Linked DNA regions of Neurospora crassa OR74A. The protein of the gene in region 2 purifies or fractionates together with the protein of the main gene of each other region. This does not show direct contact. Links are inferred from orthologs where the notes say so. Each region holds a gene or a part of one and is shown on either strand. Other genes may lie near its edges. The genes, in order: rpn-3, rpn-9, rad23, NCU02967, rpn-2, rpt-5 and NCU07913.

Region 1 (4,026 bases), about 560 kb from region 2:
ATCAGCCCGTCTTGCAGAAGACCCCGGCCTACCAGCTTGAGGGCGAGGGTGAGAGGGTTTTGAACAAGAAGAAGCTGGACGAGCTGGTTCGGCAGGTGTGCGGTGGTACGGCTGAGGGCCAAGACGGAAATCTCTTGACACCTGAGGTTGAGGAGGTACGTTGTTTGCAACCTGATAATCCTTTGTTTTTCTTTGCGGAAGTCCGCGGTCATTCCTTAACCCCCTTTAGCAAACTCACAAAGTCATCACCACACAACCAGCTAACGTGGCATTCCTTTTCAGTCCGTCCTTGGTCTCGCCGATAGCTTTACAGAGAGTGTCCTCCACGCGGCGTCCCGCAATGCAAAGGAGAGAGGATCCAAGGTTCTTGAGATCCGCGATATCCAGCTTGTTTTGGAGCGTACCTACAACATCCGTATCCCTGGCTACTCTAGTGACGAGCTCAGGACGGTTCGCAAGGTGCAGCCCAATGCTCAGTGGATCACCAAGATGAGCGCGGTGCAGGCCGCCAAGGTCATGCCGGGCAAGGGGGATCTTTAATGGAAGGGTATTCAGACCAGAATGAACAAGAGGTTTCGGGTCTCGCTTGTTTGCATGGATGTGGTAATTCTTTTGGGGGTGGGAAATGGAAAAGGGTGGCGTACCGGATGAGACGGAGGAAATACATTCATCTCGGGATACTTGTATGCTTATCCCTGGCATGAGCTACCCATAATATGGCTTAGGTTGAAGCATCAATCCTTTATGGGTTACGAAACAAGCTCCAAATATAATGGGTTGCAAGCAAGTGCAGATTTGCCGTGATATGCCAGATGATGCAGGGTTCAGGAGGCATATGCATATTCAACCCCGTGATAATGCCATCTTGGGAATGCAGACAGAAAGCGAGGACCATATATTGTATAGGCAATGGTTGCTAACACCATCCTGAAATAGGAGCCATGTCTCCCAAGACCAACTCAGTTTGTAAAAGTCTACATTGGTGGTCGAGGTGGTAAGATGTTTTGGATGTTGTCTACCCTACACTTGTAGTACTTGTAATGTAAGGTGTACCTAAGTACCTAAGTACCCTGCCTCGAGCCTGCCTGGACGTCGTCGACAGGCAGCACATCAACAACGTCAGTGACGAGCCGCAGTGGACCCATTCAAGACAATCTGGCCAATCACAATGCCTAGATGTGTGAAGCTCTTCTGGAGCTTGTCCGAAGGCCACCATAGCACTCACTCACTGCACAGGGCGGCCCTTCAGTTGGTCGTCCGCTCTTGTATGCTGGCCCAACCGTGACCGGTAGGTACTTCCTTTCAATCATCAGCTCAACAACTCCCATCAAGCAAAACACGGGTCTGTGAAGCTTGAACTTTCCTTTCCTGCACCGAACTCCGAGTACACAGCTTGGATTGAATTACCTAGGTAGTTATCCATCGACAACGACGACGAAGCAGTTTGCCCTTGGCCCTCGCTTAACAACGCCGACGACGAAGTCACCCCCATAGATACCTCCCTCTCTACCTCTAGTGCTCCATTCCCCGCCTAGAGCTAGATCCACTGCGACTCTGCCAGCTGCTGCTGCTAAAGGTGCTTGCTCCAGGCTTGCAAGAAGGGCGCGCTTCGCGAGATCGCCCCAAGCAACTCGAACTCATACCTCTGCTCTATTAGGTTGCCCACCAAAACGGCGTCATCATCACCGCACCACAGCATTCCAACATCACCCACCGCGCCAACGCAACCGTCAACCCCCACCACATCATCACCCCGTTTCCCATCGACCATCGGGCCGTTACCAACACAGCAACCACGACCTCCAGCCCAGCCAGCCTATAACCAAACCCGGAGCCGCTCCAGATAAGGAACCACTTGAGCACGGAAGCTATTGGGGTGGAAAGGATCTCGACATGACGGACAAGGATACCAAGAAGTCGGGAAAGCAAGGCGAGGACGAAATGACCGTCGTAGTCCCCCCTCCCAAGAACAAGCAGAACTCTGCGCAACCTCCCAACGACGCCGATGGCGACATTGCCATGGAAGACGACACCAAGGCCGGCGAGGTTGAGGCCCAGGTCGACCCCGTCGCCCAAACCATCAGCGGTACGGTACCTTCCCAGTCCCCAGCTTCATCTATCTTTGTGAGCTGAACTAACCATCACTCGCTTGCGCAGACATCAAGAGCAACTTTGCGCTGCTAGACCGTGCTGTTGCCCTGTTCGATCCCAGATTCTCTCTACGGGCACTGCGATCCATCTCGTCGATCCGGAAACGCCTGACGCCCGACATCCTCGCACAAGTCGTCTCAGAAACCTTCTCCGCGTCCTCACCCAATACTCAAGTTGCCGAGCACCTGCTGCTCGCTGTCGACCGGCCAAATGTGACTCTCGGCAGCAGCTCAGACATGGAGATCGACTCGGGATCCAAGTCGCCAGCGAAGAACGGTGGCAAGAAGGACCCCAAGGAGGTGATTCCTGAGATCGACATCTTCCTAGGCATTCTGGCGCAGGTCCACCTCTACGACACCAAACAGTTCCAGCGCGGATTCGCCCTGTCGCGTTTCCTATCCGAGCGTATCCAGTCCCTCAACCGCCGCACATTAGACAGCCTTTCGGCCAAGGTGTACTTTTACTTCTCGCTCTTTGCCGAGCAGCTCGCTCCCCTCCCGCCTTCCCCCCAGTCGCCGATTGTGTCGATCCGCCCGATCCTCCTCGCCGCTCTCCGAACCGCCGTGCTACGAAAGGATATCGACACCCAGGCTTCCGTCATTGTCCTCCTGCTCCGGAACTACCTCCTCACGTCGCATATCTCCCAGGCCGATCTGCTGGTGCAGCATACCCAGTTCCCCGAGAACGCTGCCAACAACCAGGTCGCGCGTTTCCTGTACTACCTCGGCCGTGTCCGGGCTATTCAGCTACGGTACACCGAGGCCCATGAGCATCTCACTGCGGCGACACGGAAGGCTCCCTCGAGCGCCTGCGCACTTGGCTTCAGCCAGACGGCCACCAAGCTCCTGCTCGTCGTAGAGCTCCTCATGGGCGACATCCCCGACCGCGCCATCTTCCGTCAACTGACCATGGAGGCCACTCTCCACCCGTACTTCCTGCTCGTCCGCGCCGTGCGCGTCGGCAACCTCGAGGACTTCGAGACCACCATCGCCCAGCATGCCGACACCTTCCGCCGCGACGGCACCTATAGCTTGATTTTGCGTCTGCGCCAAAACGTCATCAAGACGGGCATCCGCATGATGAGTTTGAGCTACAGCCGCATTTCGCTCCGCGACATTTGCATCCGCTTGCACCTCGGCAGCGAGGAGAGTGCCGAGTACATTGTGGCCAAGGCGATCAGGGACGGCGTCATCGAGGCCACGCTCGACAGGGAGCGCGGCTTCATGAAGAGTAAGGAGGTGGGCGACGTGTATGCCACCAGCGAACCGGCCGAGGCGTTCCATGACCGTATCCGCGCCTGCTTGGCTCTGCATGATGAGAGTGTCAAGGTATGTTTCTTTTTTTTCTTTCTCCCCCTTTCAAATTCCAGAAGTTATGATAGATTTGTTGCTCACAAATTCTTTCTTTGCAGGCCATGCGTTTCCCCATGAACCAGCACCGTCTCGAGCTGAAGAATGCCCAGGAAGCACGAGAGCGCGAGCGTGATTTGGCCAAGGAGATACAGGAGGGCGATCTGGATGAGGATGATCTCGGTGGTGACTTTGAGGGCATTTAAGATGTTTAGACACACACACACACACCACACACGAGTCTAAACTACCTAGATAGACCCCGCCCAATACCTATAATTTGGTCTTGGGAATAGTCATCATCATCATCCCTGTTGTATCTAGTAATCTGGTATGGAATCGTGCTATCGCCGGCCAAGAAATAAGACGGGAAGAGAGAAGAGACAGAGCCTTATGCTAGAGAAAATACGCTACAACCGTATATCACCTACCATCTTGCCTCACTTGTTCATTAGACGTATCCACTGTGTATCGGGCACAACCACCCATCAACATTTCATGCATGCTTTTTTTCGTTTGTTCCTCA
Region 2 (3,822 bases):
CCTAAAACGGCTGTCAGATGCTACCGTCCGCGCGCAAAGGGTTATATCGTGGGGGAAGACGTACGTGGACAGGGTTGTACTTCTCTTGCATCCCATTGGATGTCAGGATATTCTTGACGCTGGCAAGCTTGTGAAGCAACCTGTCCTCGAAGCCAAACATGGGAGCTGGCCGGACAATGGTGGTTTCGGGGAAAATGCTCCTGACTACTTGCTCACCGCGCGCCTACAGATCCAATCAGAAACCCATAACGATGCGACTCGCTGGAAGAGGCTGTCTTGTAATCGTACCTTGGTGGCGAAGAACTCGCACTCCGAGTTGGGGTCTGCATTGTAAGACGAGACGTGGATGAAGCGGTCGACATCGTATTTGGCGACAGCTTCGGCGATGCGCTCAGCACCCTCGATATGGACGTCCTCGAACGAGAAGTTCCTGGGACCCAGGTCAATACTCGTGCATCTCCACCACAACCTTTCCCAGTAAATCCAGACTCACTTGGTCGGGTAGTCGCGACCGATCAGGTTGTAGACGACATCGGAGTGTCGGACGCTCTCCTCGATGGATTGGGTGTTGCGCAAGTCGAACTCCTGGAGTGGTGGTTATGCTTAGTAGCTGGATCCTTGCGCGTACGTGGGCCTCGACTGTGTGGACATGACTCTTGTTGTGGGGAAAAGCTCACAATCATGACCACCTTGCCCAAATCACCCGTAACTTTCAGATGGCGCTTGTTGTACTCGTCGCGGAAGGGAATGACGACAGTGCATCCTTGTCTCGCTGCAAATGTTCTTGATATAAGCCATGGTGATCTCTATAGAGGCCTACGCCACAAAGTCGCCAGATCGTACCTAGTCTGTTGACGATGTAGCGGCCGAGTTGGCCGGTCGCACCGAAGACTGTCGCCGTATGTCCACCGAGGGAGGAGCTGTGGAGGTAGACGACGTGTTAGCAATCGCCCATTCTACCCAAGCAGAGATATAGCAACAATTACCGGCCACCCTGGTTACGGATGATGGGCTTGCCGGTGCGGGTGATGGTCACGTCGGAGATAGCTCGTCGCTGAAAGCCAAAGGCATTGGAAACGATAATTCTGGGAGTCGACCGCATCGCGGCCGTCAAGGGAGCCATCTTGTGAGTTGGGGGGTGGCAGGGCTGGCCGGATCCCGTTCAATTGGTGATGGAATCAGAGGCTATCCGGAGCTTCAAGCTGCCGTCTTCAATATCGAATCCGGGACGTCGAAGCCGGCTCTCGCTGCCCGCCTGCTGCCCGCCTGCCGTCAGCACCCCCCCCCCCCCTTCAATGTACCCAGCGACCAAACTGCTGACGGGAATCACGTGTGCCAAGCTTCCTCACTTACACTCAACGGCAGTACGTACCTCTGCCAGATAGACATGTACCTTTTGGGCTCCCGCCTCCAGTACGTACCTTAGCTTCACCCAGCTTCCACTTGGCAGTGACTGTGGGGGCCTCCACAGTGCTGGGAGAGCATCCACAATGACCGACCGTAGCTGGCTGCACGCCTAATGCCGCGTCAAGGCTTCACTGCAAGACGTCAACCAAGACAACCTCAAAACAACACTTCCACTTTCATCCCGTCCTCCATTGTAGACGTACCACTGCATTGTTCCGCCGGGATTTTCTACAACGAGCAACATCCCACGATAAGTACGCTGGTTTCCATCCGCAGCAGACTCACCGACGTTTCCACCAAAGAGACCGGATCCTCGAGAATCTGCCTACCTCCCCAAGGACTGGACAGCAAGGATCGATAGAAGACTCAGACACACACACCCACACCCACACCCACACCCACACCCACACCCACACCTAGACACAACACCACAGCCATGAACGTCGACACCATCTCCGACTTCCTCGCCGAGCAGCGCGACCAGGCGCCCGAAGAACTCCAACCCCTCGTCCTTGAGTTCGAGACACTATGGGAGCGCAAGCTGTGGCATCAGCTCACCAACCTGCTGCTTGAGTTCTTCAACCACCCCGGCAGTGCCCCGCAGAGGCTACAGTTCTACAAGGTCTTCATTCTCAAGTTCGCCGACAAGATCAACCAGCTCAAGCTCGTTGATCTTGCTCTCAAGGCCGCCACACAATGTAGAGGTGCGCAGACGGTCTTCATTTCCTCTGCTTCCAAACATGCATCTGGCAGCTAGCACTAACCACGCCTGGGTGCGCAAACCGTAGACAACCAAGAGCGCCTCTCCTTTTTGGAAGCCGTCGTCAAGAAGGTCGACCACGAAGACTCTCAAGACGCCTATGTATTCGCCACGATCGCCGTTGCCCGCGTGAAGCTCGACCTCTCCGACCTTGACGGCGCGCGCAAGGACCTGGACACGGCCGAGCGAATCCTCGACAACTTCGACTCGGTGGAGTCGGTCGTGCACGCCGCCTTCTACGACACCAACGCCAAATACTTCCAAGCCAAGTCCGACTGGGGCTCCTACTACAAGAACGCGCTGCTGTACCTCGCCTGCATCGACGTCAAGTCACTTTCACTCGAGGAGCAGCGCCAGCGCGCCTACAACCTGGCCATCGCGGCCCTCGTCAGCTCGAGCATCTACAACTTTGGCGAGCTTCTGCTGCACCCCATCCTCGACGCCCTCACCATCGACGACCGGCACAAGTGGCTGCACCAGCTCCTCTTTGCCTTCAACCGCGGCGACCTTGCCGCATACGACCTACTGGCCAGCCACATCAGCTCGGACCCGCTGCTGGCGCAGCACACGCGCCAGCTGCGCGAGAAGATCTATCTGGCGGCGCTGACCGAGGCCGTGTTTCGCCGCCCGCCCCATGACCGCGCCATGTCTTTCTCCACCATTGCGAACGAGACCAAGGTACACCCCGACGAGATCGAGCACCTGATCATGAAGGCGCTGAGCTTGGATCTACTGCGGGGCACGATCGACCAGGTTGACGAGGTGGCCCACATCAACTGGGTGCAGCCCAAGGTGTTGGACATGCAGCAGATCAAGAACATGAGGCAACGGCTGCAAGAGTGGGATTCCAGTGTTGACAAGCTGGGTAACTGGATCGAGGGTGTGGGCCAGGATGTTTGGGCTTAAAGGGTGGACGAATCTACGGACGGTGTGAGGAGATGGGAACAATTCGGGCGTTCAAACGGATGGCATCAAACCTGGAGATACAGGAGTAAACCTAATGCTTAGATCAGGGAACAAGGCCAGCTAAAGGCATGATGTTATTCCGCTGCATGAGGCAGACCGACTTTGCATGATACATATGAATACCCATAACGCATGACAACGCCCACGGCGTACGTCCTCCATTCTCTAAAAATCCAGGCCCATGCTTTGGCCTGAGTTATGTCTATGTGAATCCTCTCCATGTACGCTCCATGAACAAAGGCAAATCCAAAATACGCCGGCAAAATATGCTTCCTTGAACGCCGCAAAAAGATCAAGTAGTGTACAAAACGTAAATGAGCCATCTGGCACGTGTTTACTGGAAACAACATCATACACAGGAAAAAAATATTTGCTGCTTACTTGCCCCTACTCGTACACCGTTTATCCGAGCTCAAGACAGGGACCGAACAATGTAAAAGAGAAGATAGGCCTTTGCGTTTAGCACATCAGACTTCTGGGCCAGTTCAACTTTGTGATCGTTAAATGCGAACCACTTAAATAAATGTGCCAAAGGCAGCGGGTCAGCAAGTCTAACCCTTCAGGAACTAGATGTGTGTCATGGTTCACTAGTCAGACTCACCTGGTCGCCAACCCGGCAATAAGAAATGTAGTGTCCGGTATCCATGTCGCCAACGTGCACAACAACGCATAGAAGATCGTAAGTGCAG
Region 3 (4,134 bases), on a different chromosome or scaffold from region 2:
GGATGGCCTGAGACGAAGTTACGACATGATACCTTTCTTTCACTTCTTTACCCCTGTATTTCTTTTTTCTTCCTCGTTCTCTTTGGCTCGATCTCCACTCAGAGAGTAAGAAAGGTCGCTGTTGTGGGAGAGATACCACCTTTTCCTCTTCTCCTTCTTCTTCTACTTTCCTTCTTCTTTCCTTTGTATTTTTCATATCTTGGGGGAGGGGAGGAGGATTTTGTTTTGAGGACGTGAATATGATACCTTTGATTGCGAGGCGTTGGACTTGAGTTCCATACCTAAAGATGGGTCTTGGATAGGTGGGATTTGTGTATAGAAAAGCTCGGCTATGGTTGGATAGAAGGATGGCTAGATGATGGATGGATTCAGATAGATGCTTCTCTGCGCTATGCGCGAGACGGACGACTGAAAGATGTAGCGGATGAGAACCGAAGAAGTCAGAACAAAAGATCGTGCCCACGAAATATGCGCGGTGACATTGAGCTGTGATTTTCCATCTAAGCTATGATGCTTAGACGTCCGACCATGACTGCGATGGAGATGTAGGTAGCTTGGAAGCTTGGGAATGGTGATGAGAGAAACCAGAATAAAACGATGTCTGGCTCAAATCATGTTTGCTGCCTTGAAAAGTAACCCCAATGCTACCGTTCCGTCGTTTTTGCGATGATAACCGAAGGGAAGGTTACTCGTAGTCAATTCAATGTCACGATCCACGTCGGGTCACGAACGTGACGGAGGCCTTATCTTATCTGGTGCTCTTTCCAAGGGAGCCTACCAATGCGTATGATTGGTACAGATGGAAGGTGTTCTTCAGCCCCATTTTATACGCGCTTATGAGTGGAGATCTATTACCTAGTATTGCCGTGACACTGCCATAATCAGCGATGACTTCATCTTCTTCATCGCAAAAAAAATTCAAATAGAATAAAAAGAGATGAAAGAAGATGGGTCCTTTGGATTGGCTCACAGCATGACATCAAACATTCCCCTTTGATTTTGCATCAACTTCCATCGCCAACGGAAGCATGTGGTTATCAGTTCAGTGACATTCAAAAGCAAGACTAACAAAGAAAACCAATTCATGTTTTTCAACGCAACAAGGCCAACACAACCTGGAAAGTGAATGGATCCATGGGATCAATCAGTCTGTGTTGTGTGTACAGACGGACGGGATGGCAGCGTGACGACTGTGACCTCTCCACCAGCTCCAGGCGGCAAGATGCCGCGCAGCCCCCCCCGCCTAACAATGGCCGCTGCCTTGTGCCTGTCCACTGCACTTTGCCTGCCGCTTCCCCCCAGCCATTCACTGCCGTAGGTAGCACACCGTGAACCTGGCTACCCGCCTGCTGTGCCCCTCTTCCATTCAGTGCACTCAGGTGAAGCGAACAAACCCCAAATTCTCCGCCTCAAAGCTGCCTCATCAGTCATCACAAGCCGCTGTAAAACGTTCAAGCTTCCCTGCTACCTTCCATATTTCTTGCCACAGCGATTACAACTATCTCCTCCCCTGTATGCCACCTCGCCATCTCTGCGGCAGCCTTCCCACACACATCAACCTTACCACAGCAACCAACTAACCACTTCCACTTTTTTTCCTCGTCCTCGCCCAACTCCGCCGACTGCAACAAATCTTGCTGTCTCCCATCGCGACTCGGAACCCAACGAAGCTCGCCCGTCCGGACAGACTTTACTTACATCATCAGACTCTCAGTGTCAACGTAGCAGCCGTTTAGCTGCGTCGCAGATTGCCCATCATGAAGGTTACTTTCAAGGTACGTGCCCATAAGCTTGCCCATGTCGAGTGTTTGACGTAGCCAGCCAGCCAGCCAGCCAGGCAGACAACGAGCCAGACGTACCGCGATGGCTTCTCAGCAAATTCGGAAACAACCCAGCGTCTTCTTTGAATCCTGTCTGCCTGGTTGGATCAGAGCTCGCTCCCTCTGTCCATAAGCTCTCAAAGTCTATATAGTCAAATACTAACAATGACTGTTCGTTCATCTAGGACCTCAAACAACAAAAGTTTACGCTCGAGATCGAGCCTACCGAGACTGTTGGTTACCCTTCGTCGCCTCCCATTTCCTTACACCCTTTACCTCAGGCCGACGTCATGGAGACATCCAACACGCCGTGACAGCCCTCGACAATCGAATGCTCTGTCGGCGTCGCGAGCCTCCCATGTCGCTTCGGGAGACGTGCATGATGCTGGCGAGCTAGAAGCTAACCGGTTGCAGATTTCCAAGGTCAAGCAGAAGATCTCCGAGGAGAGGGGCTGGGCTCCCGAGCTGCAGAAGCTTATCTACTCCGGTAAGCATCGCTTGCTTCTCAAACGATGGATACCGCTCCCGAATACTGACTTTACCCCAACAGGTAAGATCTTGAAGGATGAGGAGACCGTCGAGTCGTACAAGATCGAGGAGAAGGGCTTCGTTGTCTGCGTCGTGAACAAGGTACTATTTCCCCCGTTATTACTCACGTCCTTGTACAAAGATGAAGCTGACACTTTGCGCAGCCCAAGACCACTGCCCCCAAGCCAGCCGAGTCGTCGTCGTCTGCCGCTGCCCCCGCTACCCCCGCTGCCGCCGCCCCGGCCTCAACACCTGCTCCCCCTGCCGCTCCCGCGGCCTCCAGCGCTGCTGCCGCTGCCCCTTCGACGCCGACGCCCGCTAGAACCGCTGCGGCTCCTGAGGCGGCCCCAGCTGCCGGTGCTCGCGATGCCAACGCCCTTGCCATGGGCGAGCAGCGCGCCGAGGCCATTGCCAACATGGAGGCTATGGGTTTCGAGCGTTCGCAGATTGACGCTGCTATGCGTGCCGCCTTTTTCAACCCCGAGCGCGCTGTGGAGTATCTCTTGAACGTACGTTTCACAACTCATTCCACTTTCCGATCTATGTCTGGTTTACTGACACAGCTTTAGGGTATTCCCGCCAACCTCCAGCAACAAACTGCCTCTCGCCAGCCTTCTGCCGCTCCGGCTGCTGCCCCTGCTGCTGCCGCTCAGGCGGCTTCCCCCGCTGCTGCCGGTGGTGATGATGACGATCAAGTCAACCTTTTCGACCTTGCCGCTCAGCTCGGCAACAGCGCTGGCGGACGTGGTGCTCGTGGTGCGGAGGGTGCTGGTGCCGAGGCCGCTGGTCTTGGTAACCTCGACTTCCTCCGCAACAACGCGCAATTCCAGCAAATGCGTCAGCTTGTACAGGAGCAGCCCCAGATGCTGGAGCCTATCTTGCAACAGCTCGGTGCCGGCAACCCTCAGCTTGCCCAGATGATCGCCCAGAACTCGGATCAGTTCCTGAACCTCCTTGGCGAGGGTGGTGAGGGTGGCTCTGTCGGTATTGCTGTCACAGAAGAGGAACGCGATGCCATTGAGCGTCTCACCCGCCTGGGCTTTCCCCAGGACCAGGCCATCCAGGCCTACTTCGCTTGCGACAAGGACGAGGAGCTTGCCGCCAACTTCCTTTTCGATCAAGGACCGGAGGAAGATGACGACATGCCCCAACAATAAATAGGGGTGAGACTGTAGGCTGGAATGAGATATTTTTGGGTTTTTCGTAACTGGGCGTTAAAAGTCGTTGGCAGGGTGGATTTTCGTTAGCAGCTGCCTTTGCATTTGAAATGTGGGCGACGGCTGGATGGTTTGGGCTTGCTTAGGATGCATTGGAGACTTTATGATGACATTATACCTTAGGGAGCTCAAAATGCTCAACACTGCTGATCAACGTTCACATGCAATATACGGGTGGGCTTTGTGTGTCTGATCTATCCACTGCGCGACAGGTTTCGACGAGTTTTAGTAAGGAAGCATCAAGAGTGAATGGGGTGATGACACTGAAAAAAATGCTTCGCGGAGATCTAGATCAAGGATAACTACAGAGGTGTGGTGTTTTCACAGCTTACGAATCACTCTATTCTTTATGTACTCTATAGTCCTGTCCCTTGAAGAGTGAACGAAGCATTCCCATCACGAACCATAACCAGCAATGAAAACGAAGATAAGATCCGAGACCATGAAACCGTCCGCATACAAGTAGTATGATCAAGAACCCTTTTTTTTTGTGTGTCTCCATTTGTTTTTCCCTTCCCTATTTCCATACCTAACTAAGTGCCCCTCCGGTTGATGGGTATATAAAACCT
Region 4 (3,354 bases), on a different chromosome or scaffold from region 2:
GCAGGTGGCGCACCCGAGATCCAGCACCCACGCGCTGGGCTCCATCGTTCCGACACGGGCTTCGACAGCGTCGACTCGTCCTCCTCTCCACACAACGTATTGCAGGACATGGTCTCCGTATCCACCATCGCCGCCGGGCCCTCGGTCCAGCTCGTGGAGCGCATGAGTGCCAAGATCCGCCAGCTTGAGAGCGAGAAGGTGACGGTGCGCGAAGAGCTGGCACGCATCTCCAAGCAGCGGGACGAGGCACGGGCGGAGATTGTGGCGCTCATGGGCGAGGTGGAGAATCAGAAGAAGGCGGCTGAGAGGGTGGCTGAGCTGGAGAGGCAGGTGGCGGAGGTGAATGAGCGATATGAGACGACGCTGGAGCTGTTGGGCGAGAAGAGCGAGGAGGTGGATGAGTTGAAGGCGGATGTGCAGGATTTGAAGGACATGTATAGGGATTTGGTGGAGAGGACTATGAAATGAGGTCGTGAGTGGTGAGTGAGAGGGGACGGACTGGGTAGTGATTCTTGCATACATAATAAACTATTCAAGATGGCTGGTAATGAAAATGAGTTGTCGTGTGGGTATGAAGGGAAGGGGACTCTAATGGACATGTGACTAAGGATGGCTTTCACTAATATTTTGGATATTGATGTCCATAAACCTTGGTTTAGCCCATAGCATCACTATCTCGTATTCATCGCCCTTTTTTCCGGAGCAAATTAAGTCAACGCTCGTTCTCCTCATCGTGTCATCTTCGCCACACGTACCCCCAACCTGCACCTGCAAACGGGGTAACCTAAAGCTCAATCCCCTCCTTCTCGGCCTCTTTCTCAATAAACCTCCTCACATCCTTATCCGGCGCCAAGTCCAATGCCAAATATCCATCCATATCTTTCTTGTCCGTCTCCGCCCCGGCCTTCAACAACGCAACAGCCGCATGCCCATGTCCCTCGGCCACCGCATGATGCAGCGGCGTATACCCCGCGTTGTCGCTGGCATTAATCGGCGACTTGTGCTGCAACAAAAGATTGATCATCGGCACGGACCCAATAGCCGCGGCGCGGTGCAAGGGGTATTGCCCCCGTTTGTCCTTGACCCGGACCGAGGCAGGCTTGGGTTTCATGTCTGGAGACAAAAGCTTACGCGCGAGGTCAATGTTGTTTTTGGAAGCAATGAAGTGTAGGGCGGTTTGCGATTGGTGGTTGGTTTGGTTGATGTCGGCGCCGCGGGAAAGGAGGAGGTCGATTATGGCGTCGGAGTCTTTGACCGAGGCGGAGATCATGAAGGGGGTCCAGCCCATGTCGTCCTGGTTGTGTGGTGTAAGTTGTAAGTGCTGAGTGAACAGAGGGAAGGGAAAGGAGAAAAAAAAAGTGAGAGTTCCTACCTCAACATCGGGATCAAAACCCTTTTGGTTCACGAGTAGCTCAACGACTTCCTTGCGGTTGTAGGAACAGGCCCAGTGGATGGGGAGACGGCCATCGTCGTCCTTGCGTTGAGCGAGCTTGGGGTTGGCCTGGTTGTGTGTTTAGTCATTTTGCAAGTATACGTATTTTTGAAACGACATCTCACTCACATTGAGGAGAGACTCGACGATGGACGCTGAGATTGTGAAAATGTCAGTATTCAGTCATTTCGTGGATGGTTTAACGAGTGTCCTCAACTGCTCAGCTTGAAGGGTTCTGGAGCTTTCTATGCTCACCTTTACCATCCCTAGCGGCAGCGTGAATTGCAAACTTGTCTTCTGCCATATTGATCAAGCAGATGGATTACTCAGTAAGAGAGGCCTCAAAGTCAATCAGAAAGTCGATTGAATTGAGTTCCAAGGATTTGTTTGATATGGTGATGATGCTGTTGCATGAGTTGAACGTCATGTAAGTGATGCCTTCCCCCGGGAGCTTCCATGAGGTGTGTGAAGTCCGAAAGAGGCACACAGTGTGAGCTCGACTGTGTTTGCCAAGACGCTAAATGTGCTAAAAGATGTGGCCCAAGCTCCCCCAAGCCAGGACGTCAGCAAAAATTCCCAGCCGCGTCCAGGCCGCGCCGGTGGCGCTCGTCGGTGCTCAGCACACTGTATCACTTTCATCACGCACTGCATCCAGTCTTCAACTTCAACTTTGACATCAAGTCAACAACCACGGCTCGAATTCGGATTTCATCACAACAACCGACTCAAAACCCCCTCCGGCTATATTGAAGAATAATTCGCACAAAGAACCCAAACGACGAAACGACCCTACCTATCCGACATCCGACCCTTAAGATGGCGGCCGAGGTTGCCAACAGCGCCGCCAATGGCTCTGGCCCTGACACCAACCCGCTCTCGACCATGATCCGCGAGAACGCTAGAAAAACGAAACTCATCTACGCCGCCACAGCCACAACTACAGATGCCTCTGGCACTTCCGGGAGAAAGCGTCTAAAACTCGACCCTGGGCTTGCGTCAGAAGATCCCGACATCACCAAGACCGGCCTATCTCTCCGTCTCCACGCCGAGTACAGCGACGTCCAGACCCTCCCCGAAGCCATTGCCTCCAAGTTGCCAGCCGGCGGACCACGCAAAAAGAAGGCCAAGCCAGCCATCGAAGAGGCTCCCTCAAAATCCGAAGAACACGCCCGCAAACTCATCGAGGGTATCCCACCGAGCAAGTCCGCCGCCGCCAACTCGAATGCTCTGGTCCTGTCGCGCAGCAAGCCCGGCGGCGCTGGCGCGTCGTCAACCAGACCAAATGCGCAACGAAACGAGCCCCAAACAAACAGCCTGGCGCGGCGATCCGACGTGCTGGTACAGCCCAGGCCAGATTGGCACCCACCTTGGAAGCTTCTCAAGGTGCTTTCGGGCCATCTGGGGTGGGTGCGTGCCTTGGCAGTAGAACCGGACAACAAGTGGTTTGCCTCGGGCGCAGGCGACCGCACTATCAAGATTTGGGATTTGGCGTCAGGAGCGCTGAAGTTGACTCTTACCGGACACATCTCGACGGTTCGCGGATTGGCCGTGTCACCGAGACACCCATACCTGTTCTCGTGCGGTGAGGATAAGATGGTCAAGTGCTGGGATTTGGAGACGAACAAGGTTATCCGACATTACCACGGCCATCTCAGCGGTGTTTATACCCTTGCGCTGCATCCTACACTGGATGTTTTGGTAACAGGCGGTCGCGACGGTGTCGCGCGTGTGTGGGATATGCGGACAAGAAGCAACATTCACGTCCTCTCTGGACACACAGGCACAGTAGCGGATCTTGTCTGTCAGGAGGCCGACCCTCAGGTCATCACAGCCAGCTTGGACTCGACCGTTCGCATGTGGGATCTGGCAGCCGGCAAGACGATGGGCGTCTTGACACATCACAAGAAGGGTGTGCGAGCGTT
Region 5 (4,174 bases), about 2.5 Mb from region 2:
CCGTCGCCAGCACAAGGAACTTGGTGTCGCGGGTATTTGGACAAGGAATCGAGTTCGCAGTATGAAGAGAGTTCGTTCCTTCTTTGTCGAATAATTCGAAGGCGCAGTTTGGAGAAATGTAATGGTCGCGGGAGCTGATGCTGGTGTCGGAGCTGAGTGACAGAGACGACCTATGGTAGATATTGAGTGTATTCAGTTGTAGAATAAACAACAAGGTAGCTACAGTATAGCTCCCTATCCCATGTCGCGAATGTGTGGGGATGCTGAATATTGTGATAGGTAACTCTCGACTGGTGGTGAGAAATGACGAGAGGACAGACGGCCGTTCACGGGCAACTGGAGCTTATGACCGTGCAGTGTTGCACCAGGAGAAGAAAAAAAAAGGACAAAAGGAAGGGGAAAAAAAAATAGAGGCTAGAGTATCATCATGACATTGTCCCGCGCAAACGCTAGTACCATGTCAGTCAGTCAAGATATAAGTAGTGTAGTGTAGTGTAGTGTAGTGTAGCACTGATTTCGTTGCTATCTTCATGTCACACAGAAAAGGTGGGAAAGTGTTAGTGGTGGAAGCTATATATCCACTACTGTCGTGTTGGTTCAAGACCATCAGGTTGAAATTGATATGGATCACAAAGGGAGAAAGAGCACAGAAAAGACTTGGCTGTCCATGATGATGTCTGAAAACAGGTTGAAGCCAGGGCGAGTAGTCCAGGAACAGACAGAGATATTCAGACTTGTGGATTCCACTGGCACATGTTCAAGTAGTGTATCTAGGTAGTGTAGAATACTATGTAGGTATGTAGGTACCTTTGTACCTTGAGTCCATCCAAGTCAATGACATAGATGACAGTGTGTATTCCTGGAAATGAATCAAGTAGATTGCTACCTATGTAAGGTAGTTTCCTCCTACATTTGTGCTGGGAGCGCTACATAGCGGTACCCGACTTACCATAGCCAGGAGATCTTTATCTTTTTGGAGTCATGTTGAAATTATCATCCAGGAGTCCTGACTGGAACTGTCTTGAGAGTTTGGACGGACAGTCTTTGAGTTGGGACTGGAGAGAAGCAATGAAGCTTCAGCCTGTGTGAGCCGCCTGCCTCACCTGCCTCGTTGAGCTGCCTGTCATGGCTCGTGCGCCCGCTCTTGAAGCTGTTGGGTCCAAACGAATGAATGGAAAATCTCGCCTTCCGTTCAATCTTTCATTGGTCAACAGTCAAGGTATCTGGGTACATCCAGCCCAGCAATGGACCCACTCAAGGCAGGAGCTCCCTGACGTGGATGCTCCCCTCGGCCGTCAGTTCGTCACTGCAAACATGCCGTCGGCAGGCCCCAACCAGCCAACCAGCCAACCAGAACCTCTCATTCCAGCGCCCGCCAGCTCCATCGCTGCCCAGGGCACTGCTGTCCACTGAAGCCATCACTGCACCGACCTTGACGGCAACAAACAACTGAACGTATCTCGATTCCACTCGCTCTCCTCACCAAACAAACAACCCGAATCGCCTCGTCCATATCCCATCCCATTACACAACCACCACGCGGCGCACGAGGACGCTGGCTGTTTTGTACAATACCCGGGCATTAATAAACACCCAAATCTAAACAACAACCAGAAACCGCCACCGCGAAGCTCGCCGCCATCCCACTTCTTTTTCTAATCAACATCACCAAGATGCCCGGCCTCGTCACCGCGACCGGCGTGTTGGCCTTCCTCGCCGATGAGGAGCCCGAGCTCAAGGTCTTCGCCCTCAAGACCCTCAACGATGATATCGACACCGTTTGGACCGAGGTCGCTGGCGCCTTGACCCAGATGTGAGTAGCTCCCTGATACCCGACACCAAGCTACGCTGTTTAGTGTTAGTAAGCTCACTCAGCTGGGCACGCGAGCTGATCTGTCTATCTCTCTCCCCCCCCAGTGAGGCCCTCTATGAAGACGAGACCTTCCCCGAGCGTCAACTCGCTGCCCTTGTGCTCGCCAAGGTCTACTTCCACCTCCAAGCCTACAACGAGAGCATGACCTTTGCCCTGGCTGCCGGCCCCCTCTTCAAGCTCGACGCCCCCAGTGAGTTCGAGGAGACCATCATCTCCAAGTGCATCGACCAGTACATCGCCGTCTCGTCTCTCCACCACACGCCTTCCAAGAAGGACCTGCCTGCACTTGAGACCGATCTCGGCAGCGGTGCCATCGATAGCTCGGCTCTGATCTCCCCCACCACGCCCTTCTCGCAGTCTTCGGTTCCCTCCAAGTCCCTGCTTGCGCGCGCATCGTCCGACGACAACACCATCCTGGATCCCACCTTCCAGCCCACCAAGGAGACTCGCTCCGCCTCGATAGCCCAGGTTCACGACACCGCCACCCAGGTTGCGCTCCAGAACGTCATTGAGCGCCTGTTCGAGAGCTGCCTGAAGGAGGGCAAATATAGACAGGTGGTGGGCATTGCTGTCGAGGCCAAGAACCTGGATGTTTTGCGTCGCGTCATCAAGCGCGCCAACCAAGATGTCAAGTCCGGCAAGGCCAAGGTACAGGAAGGCAGCCAGGGGCCGGCGGAGGAGCTCATGGACTATGCCCTGAGCATCTGCATGGATATTGTCCAGGAACGCGGCTTCCGCACCGAGATTCTGCGCCTGATCCTCGATCTCCTAAACGACATCCCCAACCCGGATTACTTTGCCATCGCTAAGTGCGTGGTCTATCTTGATTCGGACGAGGAGGCGTCCCGGATGCTCCGCCAGCTGGTTGCCAAGGGCGAACAGGACTCCATCGCCATTGCCTACCAGATCGCCTTTGATCTATACGACAACAGCACCCAGGAGTTTTTGGGCAAGGTCATCAAGGCTCTGCCTTCTGGCGAGCCAGCCAAGCCCAAGCCTGCCGAGGGAAGCAACGACGCGGCTGCGGAGCGTGAGCCTCTTCTGGAAGGCCAGGAGAGCTCCGAGGAGGAGCTGCCCGAGGAAGTGGCCAAGGTCTACAAGAACATCCGCACCATTCTTGACGGTAGCAAGGTCATCAAGCTCAACCTCGAATTCCTCTACCGCAACAACCACGCCGACATGAGCATCCTCAACAAGGTGCGCGACAGCTTGGACGGTCGCAACTCCATTTTCCACAGCGCCGTCACCTTCTGCAATGCCTTTATGAATGCTGGCACAACAAACGACAGGTTCTTCAGGGATAACCTTGAGTGGCTAGGAAGGGCCGTCAACTGGTCCAAGTTCACGGCCACTGCCGCGCTCGGTGTTCTGCACCGTGGCAACGTCACTCAGTCCCGCAAGCTCCTCGAGCCCTACCTTCCCCGCCCCTCTGGCGTCAGCACGGGTTCCGTCTACAGTCAGGCCGGTGCGCTTTACGCTTACGGTCTGATTCACGCCAACCACGGCGCTGATGCTCTGGACTACCTCCACCAACAGTTCAAGGACGCCGATCAGGAGGTTATTCAGCACGGTGGCGCTTTGGGTCTGGGTATTGCCGGCATGGGCACTGGCGACCAAAAGATTATTGAGGATCTCAAGGAGGCTCTCTACTCGGACTCGGCCCTCAACGGTGAGGCCGTTGGTGCGGCTATGGGCTTGATCATGCTGGGAACTGGACATGCCGCCACTATCGATGCCATGTTCACGTACGCTCACGAGACTCAGCACGAGAAGATTGTGCGCGGTATCGCCTTGGGCATTGCTCTCATCATGTTTGGACAGCAGGAGGGTGCCGACAGGACGATCCAGCTTCTCCTTGCGAACCCCGACCCCATCCTCCGCTATGGTGGTGTTCTCACGCTCGCCATGGCCTACTGCGGTACCGGTAGCAACAAGGCCATCCGCAAGCTGCTTCACCTTGCCGTCAGCGATGTGAACGACGACGTCCGCCGTGTTGCCGTTATGAGCTTGGGCTTCATTCTCTTCCGCAAGCCCGGCAGCGTACCTCGCATGGTCGAGTTGCTCGCCGAGTCTTACAACCCGCATGTGCGCTACGGTTCGGCCATGGCCCTCGGTATCGCGTGCGCCGGAACTGGATTGGACGAAGCGATTGACCTGCTCGAGCCCATGATGAAGGACCCTACCGACTTTGTCCGCCAGGGTGCGCTCATTGCCCTGTCCATGATTTTGGTTCAGCAGAACGAGGTTATGAACCCCAAGGTTGCAGCCATCAGGAAGACGCTCAAGAAGGTGGTTAGCGAC
Region 6 (3,934 bases), on a different chromosome or scaffold from region 2:
CAACAGCGCCCAGCGCAAGTATCGCCTCCGCCACTTCTACACCCACAACCACATCGTGCTTGGTCGGGTGAGGGCATCAGCAGGTATCAAAGTCCGAGTGCTACTCCTGGCACCGCCAATGGGATCGGCAGTGGCATTGGGTTCAACAGTAGGAACGGCAGTGGTGGTGGAGGAGGAGGAGGAGGAGTAGGAGGAAGCATGGGCGAATATTTCAATGCGCTGGGCGCTCGAGAGGGGATGGTGTCCGAGTTTGATACGAGCTTGGGACTGAGGCTGGATTATGAGGCGTGTTTGGCGTATTTGGCAGTGCCGCCGCTGGGAGCGATTTTGCTGTTGATTTTGGAGCGGAAGAGTGATTATGTCAGGTGAGTGAAACAAGACCCATCTCTCGGTATGGTCGAGGAGTTAGCGTTGCTGACATGTGGAACTGGGGATTAGGTTCCACGCATGGCAGTCCAGTCTGCTGTTTACGGCATTGTTTGTGCTTCATTTGTTGATTTCTTGGTCGAGTTTCCTTAGCTGGCTGTTATTTCTGGCGGATTTGGCGTTGGTAGGATGGCTGGTTATTAATGCTTATAGGGACGCCGACACGTTAGACAGGTATGTCTTCCGGGATCCAAACGAGTGGACAAAAGCTGACTTGGTTTCCAGATACGAAGTACCGATTTTTGGGCCGATAGCAAGCGGGATCTTGGACGACGAGTAGACGACTGTGGTTATTGGGGCTCAAACGCATCAGGATCAGTCCGGCATCGTGGTTGTCCTGGGAGAGTTGATACTTGACACTTGACGAGAGGTGTGAATACGGCCTTCTCGTACTCTAATGTAATGCGCTGGTATATTTTTAGTCCGATGAGGGATGTATCGAATCAATTCCTGTGTTATCGAGCCGCTTCCCCGTAAGGGACTAGCTCAAGGGTTTTGGTCAACTCCGTTTAAGACTTCATGAACATCGAAATTGAGTGAAGCACAGCAGATGAATGATCGTGCAGTGAAACTCGACTGAATTGAAACCGTGAACCTGGATGGCCGATGCCGCGTGGTTAGTCAGCTGTGGCTGGTTCACTCTGGGGTCAGAGTGGGGTCTAGAGCTGAAGTACTATGTACATACTGTGGGGCGTTAGGTACCCGGCCTTGTTACGTCGCGCTTTTGCCTGCAGCCCAGCTCCTGGTCAACCACCGACAGCACTCGAAGCTCTGTGCCGCATGTCGACCACGCAACTGCCACCATCCACGCAGCACTGCACTACAAGCACGACCGCCGGTCTCCCAACCACAACGCAAACAACGGCGATTTTCATCACTAACCACCACTACTACTCCACGTCGTCGTTTCAAATTCCGTGGAGATTACATACAGAGGATCAGTAACCCGATCTCTGCGCCCTTGCGACTTTCCCTACCGATACCCCACATTCGCACCCGTCTGCGTCAGCCATGTCGACCCTTGAGGAACTCGACGACCTCGATCGCCGTGAGCGCGAGGACAAGAAGAAGGATCAGGACAAGGATAAGAACAACAAGAAAGAGGGAGATGGCGATGCCGAGATGAAGGATGCCGAGCCCGAGGCCGATGACATCCTAGATGAGGAGATCCTGAGTTTGAGCACAGAGGACATCCTGATGCGGAAGCGCCTCCTCGAGAACGATGCCAGAATCATGAAGAGCGAATACCAGCGGTTATCACATGAGAGGGCTACCATGAAGGACAAGATCAAGGAGAACCAAGAAAAGATTGCCAACAACCGGTAAACATTCCCCCTACACTCCCCTAAGGTTTGCCTTCAGTAGCCGCGAAACCTCCCCTACTAACGCTGGCCTCATCAGACAACTTCCGTATCTCGTAGGAAATGTCGTTGAACTTTTGGACCTTGACCCGACCGCCGAGTCCTCCGAAGAGGGCGCCAACATCGACTTGGATGCCACGCGCGTGGGTAAATCGGCAGTCATCAAGACATCGACCAGACAGACCATCTTTCTCCCTCTCATCGGCTTGGTCGACCCCGAGAAGTTGAAGCCCGGCGATCTCATCGGTGTTAACAAGGATTCGTACCTTATTCTGGATACGTTGCCCGCCGAGTACGACAGCAGAGTCAAGGCTATGGAGGTCGACGAGAAGCCTCAGGAGAAGTACACAGATGTCGGTGGTCTCGACAAACAGATTGACGAACTTGTCGAGGCTATTGTGTGGCCTATGAAGGAAGCCGAACGGTTTAAGAAGATCGGTATCAAGGCGCCCAAGGGTATGTCTTCACCAAGATGGAGCAGAAACTCGCTGCTGTGGTATTGCTGCTAACTTCAGGAATAGGAGCTTTGATGTACGGACCTCCCGGAACAGGCAAGACTTTACTTGCCAGAGCTTGCGCCGCTCAGACAGATGCCACATTCCTCAAGCTTGCTGGCCCCCAGCTAGTGCAGATGTTTATCGGAGACGGTGCCAAGCTCGTAAGGGACTGCTTCGCCCTAGCAAAAGAGAAGGCCCCGTCAATTATCTTCATCGACGAGTTGGATGCCGTCGGTACCAAGCGTTTCGACAGCGAGAAGTCCGGCGATCGTGAAGTCCAGCGAACCATGTTGGAGCTCCTCAACCAGCTCGACGGTTTCGCTTCTGACGACCGTATCAAGGTTCTCGCCGCGACGAACCGTATCGACGTCCTCGACCCCGCTTTGCTTCGTTCCGGTCGTCTTGACCGCAAGATCGAGTTCCCTCTTCCGAACGAGGAGGCACGCGCACAGATTCTCAAGATTCATTCCAGGAAGATGAAGGTCAACCCCGGCGTTAACTGGGGCGAGTTGGCGCGCAGCACGGATGAGTTTGGCGGTGCCATGCTGAAGGCTGTGTGTGTCGAGGCTGGCATGATTGCCCTCCGTATGGGCAAGAATCAGATTGGACACGAACACTACGTTGACGCTATTTCTGAGGTGCAGGCCAAGAAGAAGGAAGTGAGTATTTTCCCCAAGACAACCAATGCTTGTGTGCTGCTTACTGACCACGCGTTCAGACCGTCAACTTCTACGCTTAATGTTATTGCATTTCCTACCGTACTGAAAGCGACGACCGAACTACGGCAAACAGCAAGGTCATGGACGGTTCATAGAAATTTGGCATGCAATAGAGCTAGCGTTGGGTTGGGCATGTCTTGTATCATAATGAAGCGTTTTACCCCGATGACTTGCCATGCCATCCAAATTCTCGATAACCCAGAGGCTTGATGACTCTGATGAACAATGTTTGCTGGCCTTCTTGTTAACTTACTGTTACGTTGCCTACCCGATACTCTCATTCTAGAGGGTGAAACGGTTTCCAGTCCGCCGGTTTCGCTGCCCCGATATTGTCCTGGTAAAACTGAAATGTTAAGTATAGCATCAAACAGATTTCACGGGTTTCCGTATGTGGTCCGTTGACAATGTGACCACCTGTTGTTTGATTTTGATCATTCTTCAATATCATCTTGCATTTCGTCCTTGAGTTGCTACACCAGTGGTTTGCTGCTTCTACGACGACTCATTTATTGATTTTCGAGCGGGTCTTCCATAGTGTGGATTTACTTACCTTTTTTTCGTGGCTCAAGATGTGAACTGTACAAAGTACAACCGATTGCAACTCGCTCCTGATGATCCAAAGCTTGGTCCTCAAAACTAAACCGATCAAGACCTGCAGCTTGAATGAAGATCCAGGTGTCGGTCGTCTGCCAGAAAGATCTCTCATGGTTCAAACACTGACTTCGAATTTTCACCATATTTTTCAGAATTCCGCATGATTCTGGCATCCGCGTTAGAGCACCATCCCTCATAGTTGGTATCCGACAAACCCGAAGTACTCCGTTAGAACAACACAACCACTCTTCCTCTTCGCTACCGCCAATACGTAGCATATCAAATATTGGAACGACCAAAACAGAATATCACTATAGGACGCCAGGGGGGTTCTGTG
Region 7 (3,564 bases), on a different chromosome or scaffold from region 2:
CTCCAATGGAGGGAGGTCGTCGATGTCTCGAGGTACGGTATGCCTGCCGATATCAAGCAAGTCCCGATCATTGATTCTCTTGACTCGACGAACGGGTGGAGCTTTTTCAATGAGAAGGAGAAATGCGAGTATGATCGGATTAGGTTCGTATGTACCGTAGGTTTGTTGTCAGGTTTTCGTTCTTGGGCTGAGCTGCGGCTTGTTTCTGAAAGGGCTTCGTGGTCAGCAGCGGGGCTGGTCTTTTAAGTATTCGCCCAAGTACGTGAAGGAACTAGTGTAGTAGCATTGCCCCAGAGAAAAGAAAAAAGAGGAAAAGGAAAAAAAGGAACGAGGGGAAAGAGGCGACGAGGCGTCCAAGAGACAGTGCCTTTTCCAAGAGAGACAATCGAAAAAGGGTCCCCGATGCCGTCCGCGGTTTTCACACCTTGTTCCATTCCAAGGTTGCTGCCCTGGAACTTGGGCAAACTGTGGCATAAACTGTCATAAGTCCTTCATTTGATACTGTGTTGTGTCAGTATCCATCCCAAGGTATACTGGAGATAATATCCAATGCAGCCGGCACGTCTAAGCCGCGCTCTTCTGCACACCGTACGGTACAATCTACATCTCAATCGTAGCCCTCTGGGTCTTGCATCATCCAAGAATATGGTCTGGGTTCTAAAGCCGGGTTCCAGCCATGACGGAATGGCCGATTCCCCCCAGATCTCCATATAGTCTCCGGGGTACCTATCATCCATTTCTCTCAACTCGCGAATGGCCAGGGCAAAGGCCAATCGAGTCTCAATGGGACTTCTAGGTCAGATTCGATATAAGCACTGCAGATATCGGCATCCCATGTCGTGTAACCACTTGCTAGAGGTGACATTGGAGTCCCGAACTGGTTCACCGCAATGGCTCAGTTGAGCAGATATGTATGAGGTTCAGTTTGCAACAAGAGGGGAAAAGAGAAAAGAACAAAGGTCTCGGAAGATTGGTTTGATGCCGCACCATAGAGCTACCGGGACAAAGTGTTTGCAACTGAACCAGCAGGAAGTTCTTCTTGTTAGTTGTTTGCCTCTATACCCAAGATTTCCTGGTGGGCTGATTCGCGCTCTACGTGTTGAACTAGAAATCTTAACTGCAGGCAGTATACTGTAGTATGCAAGAAATGGGAAGCCATCTGCAACTGTCAGTGATGGTTCGGACGAACTGCAATGCCTGAACAGTGCAGCGTTGATCTTCCAATATGTACAGACCAGACATCAATGACGATGCCAAACAGAAAGACACACCAAGAGCACAATCACAGCTCAGCGGCGGGGGACATACCAAAGTGGGTCCCAGAGCTTTTTGCCAAGATCTGCGACATGGCCCGTGCTCTTTCTTGCCGCCCCTGGCTCGGCCAGGCCAAGTGCAGTGGGCGGAGGAAGCCGAATTGGCACGTCGTCTCGCTGCCGCCTTGGGTTGGGGGCCCGTCACTCGGCAGCTGCAGTTGACGGAACAAACGACAAGATCACGAGCTGTCACGACTGACGGACCAAAAGCTACTACCTAGAGCTATCAACCACCGCAGCGCCCAACATCTTGCCGCCGCCAAACCGACGATTTCGATTCTCCTCCGTGCGCATAATACCAAACAACAAAACCAAGCGCAATCATCATCACCACGACGTGATTAAAAGTACGCCCGACGAGTTTGCCCGCCTTTCGAACAATTCGTCGATACAATCCATCCGTCTAGCGTCATCAGCTTCAGTCCAGCTGGTCCCATCCCTCTATACCTACACACACAAATCACAACATTCACAATGGCCTCAACACAACCCAAGAACGACGCCAAGTCGACCGAGCCCAAGCCCGAGCAGCCCGTTACCGAGAAGAAGACGGCCGTGTTGGAGGAGGACGACGAGTTTGAGGACTTCCCCGTCGATGGTTAGTCTGCCCGCCATGGCTAAGAAGCACCTTTTGCTGGACGCCGCATCGCATTTCAAACACCACCGCATCACGACCTGCTTCCATATATCATATCATTCAACAACCTCTCTGCCTATACCCTTCATCATTGGCACGGACACTACATACCAAACTTCCTTCAACTTGCGCAACTGCGGAGGCTAGCTCCCCCAGCTGTTGTACCGCACATGTAACTAACAAAATAACCAAAATAGACTGGGAAGCCGAAGACACAGAAGCCGCCAAGGGCAACAACGAGGCCAAGCACCTATGGGAGGAGTCCTGGGACGACGACGACACGAGCGACGACTTTTCCGCCCAGCTAAAGTACGTTTTTTTTGTTTTTTTTTTCCTTTTCTTTTCGTACTCCTTCCTTCCTTCTTCCTTCCCTTTTTACCTGCGTCCCTCCCTCCCTTTCCCTCTCCCTCCTCCTCCTACTCCTTTACTATGAACTTCCACTTCACGTAATTAGCTAGCTTTGCGCTAGGAGTTGGGATTGAAAATCCTAGACCCGGGTTGGCGCGTATTGCGCTGGGCCAGTCAGTCAGGCGTTAAAATGAATCACACCATTTTGGAACTTTATGGAGGAAACAAAAAGCAAAGCCGTATAAAGCGACAGTTGCTGACTTGTCTTTTTCAAACCATTAGGGAGGAGCTCAAGAAGGTTGAGGCTGCCAAGAAGCGGTAATCGGAGGACTTTCGAAGCTTGTACAAAGTATGATATGAGGGGAGGACAGGCGCATCAATACAATGTTGACCAAAGTTTCAGTCCGGGATCTTGCGGTGACATTGCTGTGCGAGGCTTCGATATGCGAGTGAAAGGTGAAGGAGACCCTCCGACTATAAAGAGACAATATCCGGAGACGTACCGACTTGTGTAGTCATTGACACAAGTCATTGGGTATCAACACGGGATTGAGATGATCTGCATAGACTTCGTCTCGAACTTGGTGCATAAACTCGAATAATATCTTGGGATGAACCAGATTCGTCAAGCTTATCCGCACATCACACTTCGAATCATAAAAACTGGACTTTAACTGTTTTGTTCTATTTATCGACTTTGGACTGAGTGCCTATCATAGACTGGCCCTGCTAATCCTTCCAAGGACCCTTTATCATCATATGTTTTTTTGATCCATCAGTCATGATCTCTCATTCAATATCCGAGAGGTTTCATAACATCATTATATCTCCTTCCCAACTCCTTTGAAAGCCAAGGACAAACTTACTGACGCTCGCTAAGAGCAACAACACCAGGGAGAGCCTTGCCCTCAAGGAGCTCAAGAGAAGCACCACCGCCAGTGGAGACGTGGCTGAGCTTGTCCTCAACGCCGTACTTGGCAGCGACGGTAGCGGTGTCACCACCGCCAATGATGACGGTGCGGCCTTCCTCGGCAGCCTTGACGCAAGCGTCGAGGGTGGCCTTGGTGCCCTTGGCGAACTTGTCGAACTCGAAGACACCGGCGGGGCCGTTCCAGAGGATGGTCTGGGACTCGTTGATGGCCTGGGTGAAGAGCTTGACCGACTCCTCGCCGCAGTCGAGACCCATCCAGCCGTCGGGAATGCCGTCCTTGTCTGTGGCGTAGCCAGTGTTGGCGTCCTTGTCGAACTTGTCGGCAATGGTGAAGT

What was found.
Region 1: the proteins of rpn-9 (region 2) and rpn-3 purify together in Saccharomyces cerevisiae (affinity purification with mass spectrometry, with the first as the bait; 3 studies listed by BioGRID). This does not show direct contact. The link is inferred for Neurospora crassa OR74A from reciprocal best matches to the Saccharomyces cerevisiae genes RPN9 and RPN3.
Region 3: the proteins of rpn-9 (region 2) and rad23 purify together in Saccharomyces cerevisiae (affinity purification with mass spectrometry; 5 studies listed by BioGRID, with this or other methods). This does not show direct contact. The link is inferred for Neurospora crassa OR74A from reciprocal best matches to the Saccharomyces cerevisiae genes RPN9 and RAD23.
Region 4: the proteins of rpn-9 (region 2) and NCU02967 purify together in Saccharomyces cerevisiae (affinity purification with mass spectrometry; 5 studies listed by BioGRID, with this or other methods). This does not show direct contact. The link is inferred for Neurospora crassa OR74A from reciprocal best matches to the Saccharomyces cerevisiae genes RPN9 and NAS6.
Region 5: the proteins of rpn-9 (region 2) and rpn-2 purify together in Saccharomyces cerevisiae (affinity purification with mass spectrometry; 5 studies listed by BioGRID). This does not show direct contact. The link is inferred for Neurospora crassa OR74A from reciprocal best matches to the Saccharomyces cerevisiae genes RPN9 and RPN2.
Region 6: the proteins of rpn-9 (region 2) and rpt-5 purify together in Saccharomyces cerevisiae (affinity purification with mass spectrometry; 7 studies listed by BioGRID, with this or other methods). This does not show direct contact. The link is inferred for Neurospora crassa OR74A from reciprocal best matches to the Saccharomyces cerevisiae genes RPN9 and RPT5.
Region 7: the proteins of rpn-9 (region 2) and NCU07913 purify together in Saccharomyces cerevisiae (affinity purification with mass spectrometry; 5 studies listed by BioGRID, with this or other methods). This does not show direct contact. The link is inferred for Neurospora crassa OR74A from reciprocal best matches to the Saccharomyces cerevisiae genes RPN9 and SEM1.

The regions. Positions count from the first base shown.
Region 1 is NC_026507.1:3,274,541-3,278,566, reverse strand, and holds rpn-3 (26S proteasome non-ATPase regulatory subunit 3), read left to right. Parts: upstream 1-1,226; 5' UTR 1,227-1,893; coding exon 1,894-2,086; intron 2,087-2,157; coding exon 2,158-3,479; intron 3,480-3,562; coding exon 3,563-3,706; 3' UTR 3,707-4,000; downstream 4,001-4,026. Other genes in the region: NCU02223 (hypothetical protein), read left to right, coding at 1-155, 283-540. UniProt on the Saccharomyces cerevisiae protein: Acts as a regulatory subunit of the 26S proteasome which is involved in the ATP-dependent degradation of ubiquitinated proteins.
Region 2 is NC_026507.1:2,715,964-2,719,785, reverse strand, and holds rpn-9 (proteasome regulatory particle subunit), read left to right. Parts: upstream 1-1,468; 5' UTR 1,469-1,843; coding exon 1,844-2,111; intron 2,112-2,195; coding exon 2,196-3,073; 3' UTR 3,074-3,322; downstream 3,323-3,822. Other genes in the region: nuo40 (NADH-ubiquinone oxidoreductase 40 kDa subunit), read right to left, coding at 1-1, 65-223, 289-430, 494-585, 678-772, 844-920, 987-1,123; NCU02375 (ubiquitin carboxyl-terminal hydrolase 2), read right to left, coding at 3,546-3,647, 3,735-3,822. UniProt on the Saccharomyces cerevisiae protein: Acts as a regulatory subunit of the 26S proteasome which is involved in the ATP-dependent degradation of ubiquitinated proteins.
Region 3 is NC_026503.1:4,431,844-4,435,977, reverse strand, and holds rad23 (rad23-like protein), read left to right. Parts: upstream 1-1,334; 5' UTR 1,335-1,757; coding exon 1,758-1,775; intron 1,776-2,005; coding exon 2,006-2,053; intron 2,054-2,234; coding exon 2,235-2,307; intron 2,308-2,370; coding exon 2,371-2,450; intron 2,451-2,512; coding exon 2,513-2,857; intron 2,858-2,917; coding exon 2,918-3,505; 3' UTR 3,506-4,005; downstream 4,006-4,134. UniProt on the Saccharomyces cerevisiae protein: Plays a central role both in proteasomal degradation of misfolded proteins and DNA repair.
Region 4 is NC_026501.1:8,551,798-8,555,151, forward strand, and holds NCU02967 (ankyrin repeat domain-containing protein), read right to left. Parts: upstream 1,882-3,354; 5' UTR 1,737-1,881; coding exon 1,688-1,736; intron 1,588-1,687; coding exon 1,562-1,587; intron 1,502-1,561; coding exon 1,373-1,501; intron 1,295-1,372; coding exon 785-1,294; 3' UTR 501-784; downstream 1-500. Other genes in the region: NCU02968 (hypothetical protein), read left to right, coding at 1-468; NCU02966 (pre-mRNA splicing factor prp46), read left to right, coding at 2,249-3,354. UniProt on the Saccharomyces cerevisiae protein: Acts as a chaperone during the assembly of the 26S proteasome, specifically of the 19S regulatory complex (RC) and appears to have an overlapping role with RPN14.
Region 5 is NC_026507.1:232,440-236,613, forward strand, and holds the start of rpn-2 (26S proteasome regulatory subunit rpn2), read left to right. Parts: upstream 1-1,374; 5' UTR 1,375-1,673; coding exon 1,674-1,813; intron 1,814-1,917; coding exon 1,918-4,174. UniProt on the Saccharomyces cerevisiae protein: Acts as a regulatory subunit of the 26S proteasome which is involved in the ATP-dependent degradation of ubiquitinated proteins.
Region 6 is NC_026504.1:3,450,359-3,454,292, reverse strand, and holds rpt-5 (regulatory particle, ATPase-like-5 protein), read left to right. Parts: upstream 1-1,134; 5' UTR 1,135-1,437; coding exon 1,438-1,748; intron 1,749-1,827; coding exon 1,828-2,243; intron 2,244-2,308; coding exon 2,309-2,943; intron 2,944-3,002; coding exon 3,003-3,023; 3' UTR 3,024-3,500; downstream 3,501-3,934. Other genes in the region: NCU04413 (UPF0132 domain-containing protein), read left to right, coding at 1-365, 439-600, 652-706. UniProt on the Saccharomyces cerevisiae protein: The 26S proteasome is involved in the ATP-dependent degradation of ubiquitinated proteins. The regulatory (or ATPase) complex confers ATP dependency and substrate specificity to the 26S complex.
Region 7 is NC_026504.1:1,371,871-1,375,434, reverse strand, and holds NCU07913 (hypothetical protein), read left to right. Parts: upstream 1-1,428; 5' UTR 1,429-1,787; coding exon 1,788-1,911; intron 1,912-2,147; coding exon 2,148-2,259; intron 2,260-2,580; coding exon 2,581-2,620; 3' UTR 2,621-3,064; downstream 3,065-3,564. Other genes in the region: NCU07912 (hypothetical protein), read left to right, coding at 1-246; pgk (phosphoglycerate kinase), read right to left, coding at 3,161-3,564. UniProt on the Saccharomyces cerevisiae protein: Versatile protein that might stabilize multiple protein complexes involved in diverse pathways. Subunit of the 26S proteasome which plays a role in ubiquitin-dependent proteolysis.